5 separate regions of the Mus musculus genome follow, and all the other regions are reported to be linked to region 3. The links are microRNA targets in miRTarBase. Many come from high-throughput screens and were not tested one by one. Region 3 holds a microRNA gene; each other region holds the end of a gene's coding sequence.
What was found. Region 3 holds the annotated microRNA mmu-miR-301a-3p (CAGUGCAAUAGUAUUGUCAAAGC, at 767-789, shown strand). A microRNA usually pairs through its seed, bases 2 to 8, with sites in the 3' UTR of a target mRNA and lowers its output. Matches are read on the target gene's strand: a 7mer-m8 pairs with bases 2 to 8, a 7mer-A1 pairs with bases 2 to 7 and ends in A, and an 8mer does both.

Region 1 (3,071 bases), not on the chromosome of region 3:
GTTGTTGGTTGTTTATGTTGTTGGTGTGTTTCCCTTCTTTTGATTTTGCTAGTATGCAGTTATTTATGAATAAATACATTTGATAATCCGACTACCTGCATCTCCCCCCCCAAGTTAAGTCACAATGAAGTAACCTTAAATGATTTGTAGTTTTACAGTGTTATTATAAATTTGAATGCTGTGTTTTGTCCATGCAATTCTTTGGTATGAATGTGCTTCATATTCAGGTTATATTTATACTTACAGGAAATTGGTTTTTACTTTCTTTTTAAAGAAAACTAAATTGAAGAAATGGCTTTTTACTCAAGAAGACTGCTGGGCCTGGACGACCTAAGAGACGGACTGGAAATGAAGTGGAATTCAGAAGAAAATCTCAGTTTTGATGATTACGTTGCTTTTTTGTCCAGTAGTTTGGTTTATATACATAAATATTCTTTGCACTACACAAATGGTAACATTTTAAAGACTAATATTGCTGATACTTGAAAAATCAATCTCAACTAGATTTTAAGTAGCATCCATAGACTTACTCTTTTTGAGCTTGAAGGACTAAATTATTAATTATTGTTCAGTAATGATCACCTAATTTTTCCCATAAGAATTATAAGCTGCATTTCTAAGGCATAGCTCCAATTATGAGATAAAATTTATACTTTTTACTTTTCTAAATTAAACACAAGAAAGAATGCAAAAACAAAAGTGATTTTTTAAAAATGAGGTTAAATCGATTTTGCATCAGTCACTGAACTGTCAGCTACGTGGCAGGAACCGGACGGAAGAATCCTCTCCAGGAGACTGGGCTTTAGTTAGTGGCTTGATTCCCCGGCTTGCTCAAGGGAACTCAGAAAATCATCGTCCTTGTACTGCGCTTCTGTTTACAAACGATTCACTGAACAGACTTAACTTGATGATGGAAATGATGAAAAACAGGCCTAATGTAGGTGTAAAAGTGTATTCAAACTCTAGACACGGCTAATCAGATTTTAATTCAATCATACACACATAATCCTTTGTAATCATTTTTCTTTTAAGTGAGGATATCTACTGTCTGCTTCATAGGGTGCTTTGCAATAAAATGAAAACGTATTTATACTGTTTTTACTAAGGTAACAAAAGCATGATAATCCTTTTTTTTGCAAGTGTAAACGACAGTCTGGACTCTTAACTTCTTAGTGCCTCAGTTTTCCTTTGGGGTATACTTCACAAGGTATCAGAAGTACTTTCAGTCTACAGGTCTCTATGTCCACATAACTAAGGAATGCCTAACTAATGGAAACTTAAGTTCCTTCTAGCCATTAAAACAGAGAGAAGATCAATTTAGATCCCGGAACACTGTATTTGAAAAATAATCTTCCTGTGTACTTTCTCAAACCTGCGCTCAGTAATATACTTTATTCTTTGAAGATTTAATTTAAAAACTTCATAGAAAATCCTTTTTTGCTTTTCCTTTTGAGACAGAGTTTTGGTAGCTCCTACCAGCCTCCAATTCTCTATGTAGCTGAAGATGACCTTGACTACCTGAGTTTCCTGTCTCTACTTCTTTTCAGCTTCTGGGACCACAGGCCTGTACCACCATGGCCAGCTTTAGAGAGTAAAACATTTTAATTTGTTCTTGATTTGTATGATGTTGGGGGCGTTAGCATTACGTGTTGAATATTTTGAGTAAGAAGAAAAGAATCCATCTTCAGAATATAGGGTTGTTCTTTGGGAAAAAGAGTATAAGAACATAATTTCTTTGTCCTAGACTTTACAAATTTTTCAAAACTGTAACTTTATTTTAAACTTGTGTATCACAACTTGGTTGATATGCCTAAAATGATCTACTGGCTTTTGCTTATGATTAAAAAACCTCAAATCTATCTTCTACATTTTAAAAGGAAGAAAAAAAAGCAAATAACTGAATTATTATAGAAAACTTTAGACCTGTGACATTTTTTTGTTTTAAATTACAAAAGAGGTTGGTATGATAAAGTGATGGCTTTTTTCTTATATAAATAGAATGCAAATCAAAGATATAACCAGTGTGATTGATTGCAAGTAGTCAAGTGTAACTAACTCCTAAGGGCAACCATTTGTATCTTATATATCAGAATTACTTTATAGTTTGAAAGCACTTTGCACACATTTCCTGTATATAAAGGATGTAATTACAGGATATAGTGGTAATGCATTAAAACATGAACCTCATTTTAGAAATCGACAGCTATGGTATTTTTTTAATGATCAGCTTTTCTGTTTATTGTAAAACTAAGTTAAAAAATAAAAGGTTAATGAGAAATGAAATGCTAACTGTATTGACTGTGTACAAAGCTAAAGCAAGAAGCAACAGTGGTTCATATACAGTAATCTTAAATGGCAGGCAGGAGATACAACTGTCCGAAATCCCAAGCACAGGATTCCACAGGTTCCATTCCGGGTAACATGCAAAAGGATAAGGTCATGAGACTAAATAAAGGCATATTATTATATATAACTTGAACAAACAACAGAAAACCAAGAGAGAGAGGGTTTTACTGTAGCTTAGACTAGCTTTAGACTTGAAGCAATCCTCTTGCCTCAGCCTACGAAGGACAAAAGAGAATCATTTTAAGTTTCAACAGATGTGAAGCTGAGAATGTGAAAGGTATAGAATAAAGTGCTGTCTCTTGGCTCATACTAGAGCAGTCTTCAGTGAAGGAGAATTCATACCTCCCCATATACAAAAGGATAGAGATGATTTCCTAGTGTGTGCTATTTCAAATGGCCTTCAGCCCAAACAATGTTTATGTGAAAGAGGCGTGTTGGGGGTGGCATTCTTATTTCTTTAGACGAGTTGATTTCTGTGGGGAAATCTCATTGTTCTTCTTAAGTTTTTTTGGCAGGTGTAAATTTAGATGATACATTATTTATTCCCAGTAAATACCATTACACAACAGTGCTTTATCTGGTGGCAGAATATTAGGTGATGAGCTGGAAATGTGATAGCAAACTAATTTCCTATTCAAGTTGGTTATTTTGATCTCAAGTTGACAGGCTAGAGTTACCTGAAAGGAGGGAACCTCAAATGAGGAAGTGCCTCCATAAAATCTGGC
Region 2 (3,071 bases), not on the chromosome of region 3:
AGATTAGTTGCCCACTGAAGGTGCCCTGGAAAAACCCCACTTCCCACTATTGTCCTCAAGACTACTGACATTGCCAAAAGGGCTGCAGCAAGACCAAATGTGAGTTTCACCCCGCATCCCAAACTCATAGTAGCTCCTACTGCTCTTTGGCAGGGCCACGATATGGCAAGGTCTGTGGGAGCGGTGGCCTATCTTGAGTGTTCAGCTCGGCTCCATGACAACGTGGAAGCCGTCTTCCAGGAAGCAGCAGAAGTGGCTCTCAGCAGTCGCAGACATAACTTTTGGCGGCGGATTACTCAGAATTGTTGCTTGGCCACCTGACTGGCTTGGAACCCACCTTGCCTTCCGGTTTACTCCGCTGCAGAAAGACCCAGAAGCAGAACTTGTACTCTGTTGACTGGGATGGACCTAATCCCTAGGCTGAGCTGGTAGAACCACACATCCATCCACAGATGGGCTCCAATGAGGCCTGGCCCCTGGACCGAGGAATCCTGGATTGAGGAAGAGGGTTCCCAGACCCTTAGCTCTGGAACCATTATAGACTCCTGTGCCCAATCCTGGACCTGCGTCCTGAGCGGGGTCTGTGCGGTCTGTTTGGCGCCACCTTGTGGCTATTCTATTGAGTTATATCTACAGGACCTAGGGTTCCCAAGACCATCTTGCCCGGGCTAATACCCTGCCCCGTCCGTGATCATCCTATTTATCCCATTGCTAAGTGTAACAACTAAAATGGCAGCACTTGCTATTAGTGTCCTGACTCTTCCTTCAAAGCATCTTTACATACTACTAGGTAGGAAAGAGCCCATCCACCTAGACCCTAGGGTGGAACTGCTAGGACCAAACCTGACTTTATCACTTTAAGACCTTGAGGAAGTTCTAGGCCTCAGCCTTTCATCTGTAAAATGGCCAATCAGAAATTACATCAAGCATGAATAAAAGTCATGAGGACTAACACATTCAAAGAGCTTAGCAAGTGCCTTGCATGAAAGGTACACACTCTCATTTGTCTACCATGTTAGTAGACTTCTCCAGAAACAGCACAGTGTCAGGCACACACACACGGAGATAGTGCAGTAATGCTTTCCAGGTGCCACCACATAAACCAAACAACCTAAACTCAATTCCCAGAACCCATATAAAAAGCAAGATGCGAGGTTGGTGAGGTGGCTCAGCAGACAGGGGTTCTTGCCACGACGGCTTGAGTTCCTTGGGACCCATATGGTAGGAGAAAACTGACTCCCACATTTGACCTCTGACTTCCATGTATACCTTGGTATAAACCCACCCAACACATACACAGTAGAACTGAAGTGTAACTTCACTTTTTTTTAAGCTAGAGGCTAGTGATCAAAAGCATTAGTGCACTATCTCCGTGAGTCCTCACACGTGTGTGTGTGTGTGTGTGTGTGTGTGTGTGTGTGTGTGCGTGTGCGCGTGCCACTGGCTTGTCTTCTAAACGATCTAGGTTTGGTTCCCAGCACACATAGGATAGCGCACAGTCACCTGTAGTTTCTGTTCTGTGGGACTCAATGCCCTCTTCTGGCCTCCATAGGCACCAGGCACAAAAAAAAAAACCCAAAAACAAAACCAGGCAAACATACACACCATAAAATCAAGCCAGTGTTGGTGGTGCACACCTTTAATCCCAGTACTTAGGAGGCAGAGGCAGGCAGATTTCTGAGTTCGAGGCCAGCTCAGTCTACAGAGTGAATTCCAGGACAGCCAGGGATAGAGAAACCCTGTCTCAAAAAAAAAAAAAAAAAAAAAAAAAAAGGTGTCAGAGACAAGAAACTCTTCTAATCTCTTGGAAGCTCAAAAGCCTTGATACACACACCCCACATATGGAAACTACAGAAACAAGAGAGACCTGCCTCAACAAGGTGAAAAAAACTGATTCCTGAAAGTTGTCTTCTGACCTCTACATGTGCAATGTGGGGTACACACACACACACACACACACACACACACACACACACACGGTTTCATTAAGGAACCTGCTCATATGCTCATACCCGTGTGGTTGTGGGGTCTGGCAGGCTGATACTTGTAATGCAAATGAGTTGGTGTTGACATCCAGCATTTGAATTTGCAGGGCTGTGGGCTGGAAACTCAGGGTTTTTGGACTGCTAAACTTGAGGCAGAATTCTTCAGGAAGACAAGAGGCCCACACATACTGAGTGCCACCTGCTTTATTCAAAGACTATCAATTTAAAATTCTTTTCTCACATGTTTATTTGTGAGGGCTGTGGGACATGCCATGACACACATGTAGAAGTTAGTGGAAAATCCTCAAGAGTCAGTTTTCTCCTTTCACTATGTGAGTCCCAGAGATCAAACTCAGGCTGTCAGGCTTGGTGGCAAGTGTCTTCATCTACTGAAGGCACTGGCCTCCAAAGTCTAACAATTTAAACATAATCACATCTATTTTTTTTAATAGAAATGAATTTTGCTTTTATTTTTTTAATTTAAAATTTTTGTTTTTGTTTGAAACAGGGTTTCTTTGTGTAGCCCTGGCTGCTCTGAAATTCACTCTATAGCTTACCTGGCTTTTAATTTTAATTATTTTTATGTGTATGAGTGTTTTGCCTGCGTGCATGTCTGTGTACCATGTGCATGAAGACTGTCAGATCCCCTGAGACTGAAGTTACAGACGGTTGTGAGCTGCCGTGTGAGTGTTGGGAATGAACCCAGGTCCTCTGGAAAAGCAGCCAGTGCTCTTAATCACTGAGCCAACTTTCTACACTACACCTGTTTTGTTTTGTTTTGTTTTGTTTTATTCTGTATATGCTTTTTATCAAGTTAATTGTTAACATTGTGTGTATGTGGGCGCATGTTGCCATGACAAAGCTGTGGAAGTTGGGGGTCAATTTTGTGGAATCAGTTTTCTCCTACTTTTATGTGCATTTTAGAGACCAAACTCGGATCATCAGACTTGTAAGGCAAGTGCCTTTCTTTGAGAAGCCATCTCACCGGCTTGAATGTTATTTTCGTATTATTACTGAATTCTACAGGCATGATGTCATGCTCGTGGTCACAAGCACTTGGGAGGCTGAAGCAAGAAGAAAGAGGCA
Region 3 (3,000 bases):
TGCTGCCTAAGTGTGTTTGTGTGTGTGCACATGTGTGCATGTGAGTAAATTCTATAGAGATCAACTGGGTATATAGGTTTGAGAGAGGTATATTTCTCTTTTTCTATTGAGATTTATTTTATGAATATGAGTGTTTTGCCTGCATGTTTGTGACGGCACCACATTTGTGCCTGGTGCCTGAGGAAGTCAGAAGAGGGCATTGGATCCTGTGGAACTCTTCATGGATGATTTTGAGCCACCAAGTGTGTGCTAGGACTCGGACCCAAGAACAAATACTCTTAACCACTGAATCCTTTTCATTTGTTTTTTGAAGTAATTACTCAAAGGACTTGTTTTCTATGGTAGGTAACCCAGACGCTTTGGAAAAGGAGTTAACCAACATTACATTTAGGCAAAAAACATAGTTTTTCACATATTTGCCTTAGTAGTAATTACAGCTGATTTTGTTAATATCAATTATAAAGTTTTTATGATGCCCATGTTAGCTACTAAAGGCTCAGGACATATTACAAAATTCCTTTACATCTGTGCATGTTTATGTCTGAATGCTGCTAATTTCAGGTTAGTCAACAAAAACCAATTATCACTTTGGTCCTTTGCCCTTCCAAAAATATACTGGTATAAATGTTTTTAGGTTTTGGATGTCTTCTGACTAAAATGGCAACTCAACTTTAAGGTCTTTGCACACTGAGCCTTGCATTCCTTTCCTGCTCACTCCTGCTAACGGCTGCTCTGACTTTATTGCACTACTGTACTTTACAGCGAGCAGTGCAATAGTATTGTCAAAGCATCCGCGAGCAGGTTGCACACCTTTCCTGGTTCTTGTCTTACATCTTCAGTATTTGTGAAAAGGTTTCTATAACTTTCAGTGTGGAAAACTGTATAATTTTGTTACTATGTATATTTTTTAGAAAGTCATCATTTGAAAAAATATCATTAAATTAACATTTATCATTTCTGTATGGCACTGAAAATTCATTACTGTACGCTGTGAAGTAATGGCCTGTCTAACTGAATAGTACTTTGTAATTTGCTTCTTTTTGTAATAGACTTGAATAGGTTCTGGGAACTCTTCGGTCTTATTATATGAGTTGGTAAGTGATAGTCTCTCATGTCTATTTACTATGGTAATGGTTTACATCTTAGTGTCCATTTTAGTATTATATTAGAAATGCTTAAATTTAACACTTTGGGAGGGGACTAGAGAGATGGTCCAGCAGTTAACACTACAGAGGACCTGAGTTTCCTTCCCGGCACCCACATCTAGTAGCCACTCTCAGCCACTTGTAACTCTAGCTCCAGGCAGTTTCGTGCTGTCTTCTGGTCTCTGCAGGCACACAAATACAAACACACACACTGATACAAACACAGAATAATAAAATCCTTAAAACTTAGAAAGGCTTGATTATTGTAACTATAAAATATAAATCACTTTAAAAAAAACTTTTATTGGCTGTGAATTTCACATCATGCACCCCAGCCCTCCAATTCCACTCATTTTCCCATCCCTTAGTATCGGCTTTCTGCCCTTGCAACTTCCTCCTCAAAACAAAATAAAGATAGAATTAAAAAATCTTGTCATAGAAGCTGGAGTATGTCACATTGTGTCACACAGTATATCCTTTTGTCCATACAGAAGTCATCACTTTTTGGTAATAAGTTTAATGCACATTTTATGTAAGTAAAACTAAAAATGTAAGTGTACACTGATGAGTTTTGGCAAATGTATACATAATGTAACTCCCTCCACTACTAAGATAATAAAACATTTTCATTACATTTCATTTCAAAAGTCTCTGTGTCTGTCTGCAGTCTCCTTCCAAACAGTGCTTTTGTGAACTCTGACTGGGCCAGCACAGTATTTGTTCTTTTAGTTTTGCATTCTTGTACTTACTGTAAGTGCTTTTGCCATCTTGCCTTTGTTGCATGTGTTGATAATTGATTCATTTTTATTGTTGAGTATATTCCATTGTATAAAGTCTGACAAAGTGTTTCTTGGGTTGTTTCCAGGCTTTGCCTGTTATGAATAAATTTGTTGGAAGCATTGTCTTTACGTGGCCATAATTTCTTATTTCTTTTGTGTAAATACTGGGAAATGGGACTATTAGGAGAAGTTGCTAAAATCAACTGGGTGGCGGCATAGCCTTTAATCCCATCACTTGGGAGGTGGGCCGGGGGTGGTGGTGAATCTCTGAGTTTGAGACCTAGTCTGCAGAGTGAGTTTCAGGAACGCATGGCTTGAAAAATCACACCAACACACAAAAGGCAAAAACAGTTTGATAAAATCTTTTCCATAGTCCTCTTAGTGATATTGAATATTTTTCATGTGCTTATTTGCAACTGATATATGTTTTTTAATGTCTTAAAGTCTTCCTGTCCATGCATGGTACATGGTATACGTACATACGTGCATACACAAACTGCAGACACATGCGCACATTTTTTTTTCTCAATCTAATGTCACTAATTTTTTTTTCTTGGAGATTTGTGGTTTGGGGGCTGGAGTGATGGCTCTGGGGTCAAAGACCTTCTTGTTTTCCAGAGGACTGGAGTTTGCTTCTCGGCTCAGCACCCAGGTTGGGCAGTTTAGTTTGTGATTCCAACTTGAGAGGATTGTACACTCTCTTGTGGCCTCTGTGGGTTCCTTTACACACATGGCAAGGCAAACATAGACACACAAACAAACAAATTTAAAAGAAAAATTTTTGGTAAAGTATTTAATATCTTTATGTGTATGTGTGTGCTTGCTTGAGACTGTCCTTCACATGTGTGCAGGAGCTTGTGGAAGCCAGAAGAGGGTACTGGATCTTCTGAAACTCAGAGTTGGTTTTGAGCAATCATGTGGATGCTGAGAATGGAACAAACCTAGATGCTCTGCAAGACTAAGAGCTCTCTTAACCACTGAATTCTCTCTCCAACCCCCAAATGAAAGCTTAACACGATTTAACACAGCCCTGTATAAAACAGCTAATGCATGTGTGTGGTGGTGCACATGCCCCT
Region 4 (3,071 bases), not on the chromosome of region 3:
TTTTTTTTCCTTAAATAGAGATAACCAGTAAACAATTTTCAGAACTTGGAAGTTTAAAAACGTGCATATAAAAATGGGCATTATGTACTTTTTATTGAATGTGGATTGACTGCCGTCTGCTAAGAAAAGTGGGTGTGGGGGTCTGAAGAGAAAGGAAGTTGTCTTTTTTTTTTCTTTTTCTCTTTTTTTAAGGCTTGCTTGTGAAAGGAACAGTTGTAAAAACAAAATTGCTTGAAGCAGGGTCAGCTTAGTGCTTCACAGTTTGGCTGCTTCTCTAAGAGGAGCCCTTCCTGCGCACGTGCATCACAAACCACAGAAAACACAAAGAGAGACACCTAAAACCCACTGCGTCATGTGCAGCACTGACTTTGGTCAAACAAAAAAAAAAAAAAAAAAAAAAAAAAAAAGAAAGAAAGAAAAATTAATACTTGCTAAGCTTTTCTACATGATATAAGCAGGTATTGCATATTTTCATATATCTGGGGGCGGGGGCAGGAATAAAGGGAGACTCCAAATAAATTGAAAAAAAAAATGCAGCGACATCCCAAATACTGACATTGTAAGCATCTACAGAGCTCAGAATAGCACTGCCACTGACCACACAGGACACTCAAGACTACGCCTGTCTGCGGAACAGCTAACTTTCTATTTAGGTCTAGATGTTGAAACTGACGATGGCTGACATAAAGGTTAACATTTACAGAAAGTGTCTCCGAATGCTTGAGTAGGGAAAAAACCCCTTCAATTGAGGAGCATGTGCAACAATTCCACAAATAATCACTATCCAGGGCAAGGCACATTGATATGGAATTTCTGTTTTCGTGCAAATTAAGGAAAAAAATAAAAACAAAACAACATCGTTTAGGGATGGGGGTGGGGTTAGGTGAGGAGCAAAGTGTCTTCCCAGGAATTTCAGTCACTTGATTGTATAGGACAGTAGTTGAGCCCTTCTGAAGGGCTGAGACAGTTTAAAGGCAAGTGCCTAGAGTGGGGTTACAATATTGTCTTAATGCACTCTACTTTATCCTACATTAGCTATATAAAAATTAGTTACTAACACTAGAACATGCAGAGAGACTTCCTCTGGTCGGCAGGCTTTGCCGACCAGAACACATATATATGTATAGTATAGGAAACCGTGACATTGCATGGGAAGCAAGGGTGCTTCGCTGTCTGGTAGAAAAATCACTTGCATTTTTTTTGTTTGTTTGTTTATTTGTTTCTGCTTTTTTTTCCTTTTTTGATTTTTTTTGTCTTTTTTTTTTTGTCTTTTTTTTCCCTTAAACATAAGATACAAGACATCTGGGGGGGGGGGGCGGGGAGGGTGTGAACTTTTTTTTTTTCCCTAACAAGTACTTTGATCTGAATGGGCACACATAGTTGTGTCCTTATCAGTATTCGTGTTATTTTCCCGTAGCCCAGTTCAGGGTTTGCAAAGGGTCTTTGAAACTTCTGGACAATGTCTGGTACAATGAAGCGTTGGATAACCGATAGATCAGGTGTTGCCATACATGTGTAAAATTTTTCAGAATTGGCATAATTCATTATAGTGATTTCTAGCTTATAAAATTAACAGATACCATGATTTCATTTGAGTTATGTGCTTTGATAACAGAAAATAATTAATTAGCATTTAATGTAGTTAACATATTGTGGTAAAAGCACCATTAGATTTGTATTTTTTTTTTGTATTTTTTTTGTTTTTTTAAATTTTCCTTCGGTTTTTTTTTAAAGGGATACAAGTTTAACAATAAAAAACATAAAAAGCAAAAATAGCTCCCCTTTTTCTTGCAAGGCTGTTTTTTACCCCAATAATTTAGAGTCCTGGGGTGGGAGGACTTGAAAAACAAAAATAGAATTTTCAACAATCTCTATCTTACAAAGATACTTAGCTATCCAATGAAATTGCACTTCACTCAATTCAAAATTCGATTGTTTTGATTCCTGTCAGTTTCTGTCAAAACAGACCATCTTCCCCATTTCCATGTGAATTTTTGTGTCATTGTTGAAATTGTTGAAAAATGTTTTTTTTTAAATGTAAGTGCAGCATTTCAAAACTTAAGAACAAAAAAAACAAAAAAAAACAAAAAAAAAAAAAACAAAAAAACAAAAACCCAACCAAACTGATAGTAGTAGTCTTTGCCGTCTTTTTGGAAATTGCTCTGCAACAGGAGCGGATTCACTGTCCTTGCGGGTTGTGTTATGTATGTAACTGCTGACTGCTGAACCAAACCAAATTAAAAGAAAGATCAACTTAACTGCATTTTTTCCCTAATATGTTACAGAAAAAAAAAAACCAAAAAAACAACCCCCCCCCCAAAAAAAACCATTGCCCTTTGAGTGTCCTGTAAGTTACAGATCTCAGCGATTACAGAAGGTTTCATGCTCCAGGTGTCTCCAGATGCTCAGGGAGGGTCACACACCTGCACGGGCAAATTCAGGAAATACTGGGAAAAGGCCAGGCTCCCAAGTGTTACCACAGGAAGTTCACGAGCGAGGCTCATCCTTCACCAACCACTTCACCTACTGCTCACGCCACCACTGAAACACTTCAAATGTCACACAGCCCAACCATTTCCAGCACCATGAGAAATTACGACAGTCCCTAAAGTATTAAAAAAGAAAAAAAAAAAGAAAAAAAGAAAAAAAGAAAAAAAAAAGAATCCCAAAAAGTTATGGCCTTTGCTGTTTGACCACGATGTTTGCTGTTTCCATGTATAAGTTGATTCGAGTTGGTTTCGCTCCCCTTCCACTGACAGTGAAGTTGTAACTGCGCCGGGTTGAGGTTGCGTCCATGTTACAGAGTTGAGAAGGGGTCAGGTGGTCTGTCTGGAGGATGGTGGGATGCTGCAACTTTTATCCCAGGTACCAGGACTGGAAGACAAAAAGAAAAGTCTAATTAAAATGCAGGTGTAGTGCTGGGTGTAGTGGCTCGTGGGTAGCTCTTGGCTAGTATGAGCAAGGCCCACAGTGATCCAGTGCACAAAAACAAAAAGCATTCAATATTGTAAAACTATTTTGAAAGTTGCTCTTTTAACCATGGGATCAGAATTTACCTTGGGAGTTCATGT
Region 5 (3,071 bases), not on the chromosome of region 3:
CACACGGCAACCGCTAAAGAACTCCTTGGTTTGGAATAAAATGTGCCACTCCCAAAACATAAAAACACTAATTTAGTCAAAAGGCTACAGTGGGCTTCAGGCAAATACACAGTGGAAAAAAAAAGACTTCGCTGCACGTCCATGCTGGGGAATTTTTTTTTTAAATGTAAGCTACTAATATTTTAACAAAAAAATTAACCCCAAAGTTGCATATTTATATTGTACACAAACTGAAACATAAGTGCCTTTAGCACAGTGGACACATGCTTACATAAACTCAATAGTTACACTTAAAACAACTTGCATGTTACACAGGAAAAGTTCTGAAATACAAAAAAGCATTAATATTTTCTATAAAACTATAGTGAGAACATCAGTTTACTACAAGCATATAAAAACATCAAGGCTCTCTCCGAGTTTCAAGTTCTCTTCACAGCATCGCCTGATCATAGTCTTCCTCCAGCTCTCAGCATGGACTTATCTTTCCTCAAGGGGTTCCTCTTCCAGGTACACTGTAAGCTCAAGAAAACAGACCTAACAATTATGCAATATAACTACGTCATAACAACTTAATTGCACATTATGCTTTGAAAGTAGGTTTGGATGACGTTCTCAGACACTTTGGTATATGTTCCTCAGGGACATCTACTACAAGTAACAGAGAGATCGAAGTTCCTTCCATCCCCGTTCTGCATTGACATGAACAAGTCTTTGGTTAAAGGTCTGCATCTCAGGCATTTATCTTCAATTAAAATGGTCCCTAAACCACTAAGTGGAGCTGTGGCGTCCTGGTACACAGACTCCGTGTCACTGGTTTCTGGCGTGGCTGGATGTTCTAACACTCATCTGCTAACGTTACCGCTGGTTTCAGCCTCTCCCTACTGCGCAGAGAAATCACCAGCTTCTCACTTCTCTGGGTCCTGCTGTAAACTATACACTAATTTGCAGTGACTACAGACACTGGTTCACAAAATGTGATTAGGGTTAAAAAGCTAGAGAACATTCAACTTAGATTTAGCTTATTCTGACAGGTCAGTATTAGGTTGTAGGTGACTCTGCATTGACTACAATAAGTTGTCAATGCTTATTTAAAAACCCCAAACCATTCCACGTACAAGAGAAATTGTGGCAAATGTATAAAACGGCAGATATACAAGAACACCAAACATACTTTATTAGCACGGAAAAGCAGCCAGAACAAGGCACAGCAAGCAGAAACATACGTTTAGCAGTTAAAGGGTTACTGTTGCATACAAATGTAGCATTTCTTTCAGGAAGCCCTGGCAATAGCCATGGGACAGAAAGCAACCTCCTGCAGCAGCTGGCATGAGGGCCGAGGAGCACCCGGCAGCAGTTACAGAGCACGGCAACACACAGGAATGGATTTGGCTACTGTAGTGCAAATGGCTAGGACAGAACCGGGAACACAGTCCAACACGAGAAGCAACACTAGAACTCGACAACACGTCCCAAGCATTCACTCAAGTTGTATTACGTCCTATCCTAAGTGACAAAAGGTGCCAAGTAAAGTTATTTACAGGCAGCATGGGTGTACAGTACCTTTTAAATCTGCAATTTAGACTTCAGGTTTTCTGTTAAGAATTAACTGCACTAAAACTGTATAATATAAATTGTACTTAAGCAATTCGGCTATGAGCTTACAACAAAGAGATAAATACTGTCATCCAAACGATTAATTATAGTTTAACACAACTTGGCATCGTCAACCAGTGGAGTTACTACTATCTGATGTGTCTGGGCATCTCCTAGTCTCGCTGTCCTCTGGGCTCACATAGTCAAGGGCACAGGAAAGGGTTCCAACTTTGATGAGACAATGTGAGGACTGACTGCACATGTCAACTTGGAGAAAAACACCCCACTGGAAACTCCAACTGCATGCTCTCAGGTCACCGTGCTCATCCGAAATGCACACTGGGGCTTTTACCCAACTCCACCACTGAGCTGGGAGTCTCAGGGTTAAGAAAACTATCTAGGAAAACCTGGTTTACTTTAGAGCCTCCTTCTCTGAGGAGAAAAGGAGGCTGACTACAAGCCACATTAACAGTGCACAATGCCCTGTGGCTGGAAAACTTGCATTTGTTTTCTCTAAAAGGAAGGTAGTCTTTTATTTACTTGTTTGTTTTGAACTTTCAAAGCTTGATTTATAGTAACTACAAACATCACTACTTTTTCTGAAGGTTATAGAAAAATTCTTAGAAAAAATAATTTCAAACATTAGTCACACTATTGAAATACCCATCCAATATTAATAATTTGTTCTTCAGTAAGAAATAGAATTCTTCATAGCAAATGCCCCAGAGTTGCCTCCCTCAGTTGTCACAGCCCACCGAACACCTGCAAGCCATCTTGCTGTCCCTAGGCACCTTTGTCTGAGGAACAGCGGACCCCATAGGGCAGAGGCTAATGACTAAGCTCCCATTCTGGGTGGGAAATCCTAGCAGCTGACTGCCTCCTATGGGTGCAGTCTGATGCACGGGAGGAGCAGACTTAGTTAGTGCCCTTTGGGGACAGGAGTTACTTTGCTTTGACTGGTTCTCGTTCTAACCAGCGAACCCTAACTTTTTGTTTATAATGATACTCTTTTAAAAAATCCTGTAACATCGACGGTAGCGGGAGCCCGTCAATCCCATCATACGTAGTGCATCTGCAGATCACTGCGCGGCAGATATACTGCAGGCTGAAAGGGAAAGTTCTATTCAGTGATATCGTTAGCAACGGTTCAAAAAACATGCAAGAGCTGGGGTCTTTATAGTGTTCGAGAAGCCCCGTGACAGTGGAGGAGTGAAACACGCAGGGGTCATGGGCATCGAAGCTGAAGTTGTGGTTCCACTGCTCGATCCGGGCGTGCAGAGACCTGTTGTAGCGGCGGAAGCTCACAGAGAAGAGGTAGTCCTCCTGTGCAGAGTCCCTGAGCAAGAACGTGCCTTCCGGTTTCCCTTCTAGAAGGGCTTCGGCCTCGTATCGGTCCATCACGCCCCAGTAACAGGGATTCCCTGTGATCTGAAGCAAATCTGGCACGAGGCAGTGTATGTAATCGATCTGCGTATGAA

Region 1: miRTarBase lists Acbd5 as a target of mmu-miR-301a-3p. Seed matches in the 3' UTR shown: 8mer at 436-443.
Region 2: the mRNA of Rhod is a reported target of mmu-miR-301a-3p. Seed matches in the 3' UTR shown: 7mer-A1 at 1,361-1,367.
Region 4: miRTarBase lists Nfia as a target of mmu-miR-301a-3p. The part of its 3' UTR that is shown has no 7-base or 8-base seed match.
Region 5: the mRNA of Socs5 is a reported target of mmu-miR-301a-3p. Seed matches in the 3' UTR shown: 8mer at 1,396-1,403.

The regions. Positions count from the first base shown.
Region 1 is chr2:23,112,231-23,115,301 of GRCm38, forward strand. Acbd5 (acyl-Coenzyme A binding domain containing 5) reads left to right here. Exons shown (of 14, transcript NM_001355637.1): 14 at 275-2,283. The coding sequence ends at 287. Among named protein-coding and RNA genes, the nearest start is that of Mastl, 42 kb to the right of the region's middle.
Region 2 is chr19:4,423,339-4,426,409 of GRCm38, reverse strand. It overlaps Rhod (ras homolog family member D), which reads left to right. Exons shown (of 5, transcript NM_007485.5): 5 at 154-2,938. The coding sequence ends at 321. Among named protein-coding and RNA genes, the nearest start is that of A930001C03Rik, 14 kb to the left of the region's middle.
Region 3 is chr11:87,112,288-87,115,287 of GRCm38, forward strand. It overlaps Mir301 (microRNA 301), which reads left to right and starts at 717; the gene lies at 717-802. The region is part of intron 1 of Ska2 (spindle and kinetochore associated complex subunit 2); the gene reads left to right.
Region 4 is chr4:98,111,021-98,114,091 of GRCm38, reverse strand. Nfia (nuclear factor I/A) reads right to left here. Exons shown (of 11, transcript NM_010905.3): 11 at 1-2,874. The coding sequence ends at 2,857. Among named protein-coding and RNA genes, the nearest start is that of Gm34784, 14 kb to the left of the region's middle.
Region 5 is chr17:87,134,709-87,137,779 of GRCm38, reverse strand. Socs5 (suppressor of cytokine signaling 5) reads right to left here. Exons shown (of 3, transcript NM_019654.2): 3 at 195-3,071. The coding sequence ends at 2,536. Among named protein-coding and RNA genes, the nearest start is that of Socs5, 29 kb to the right of the region's middle.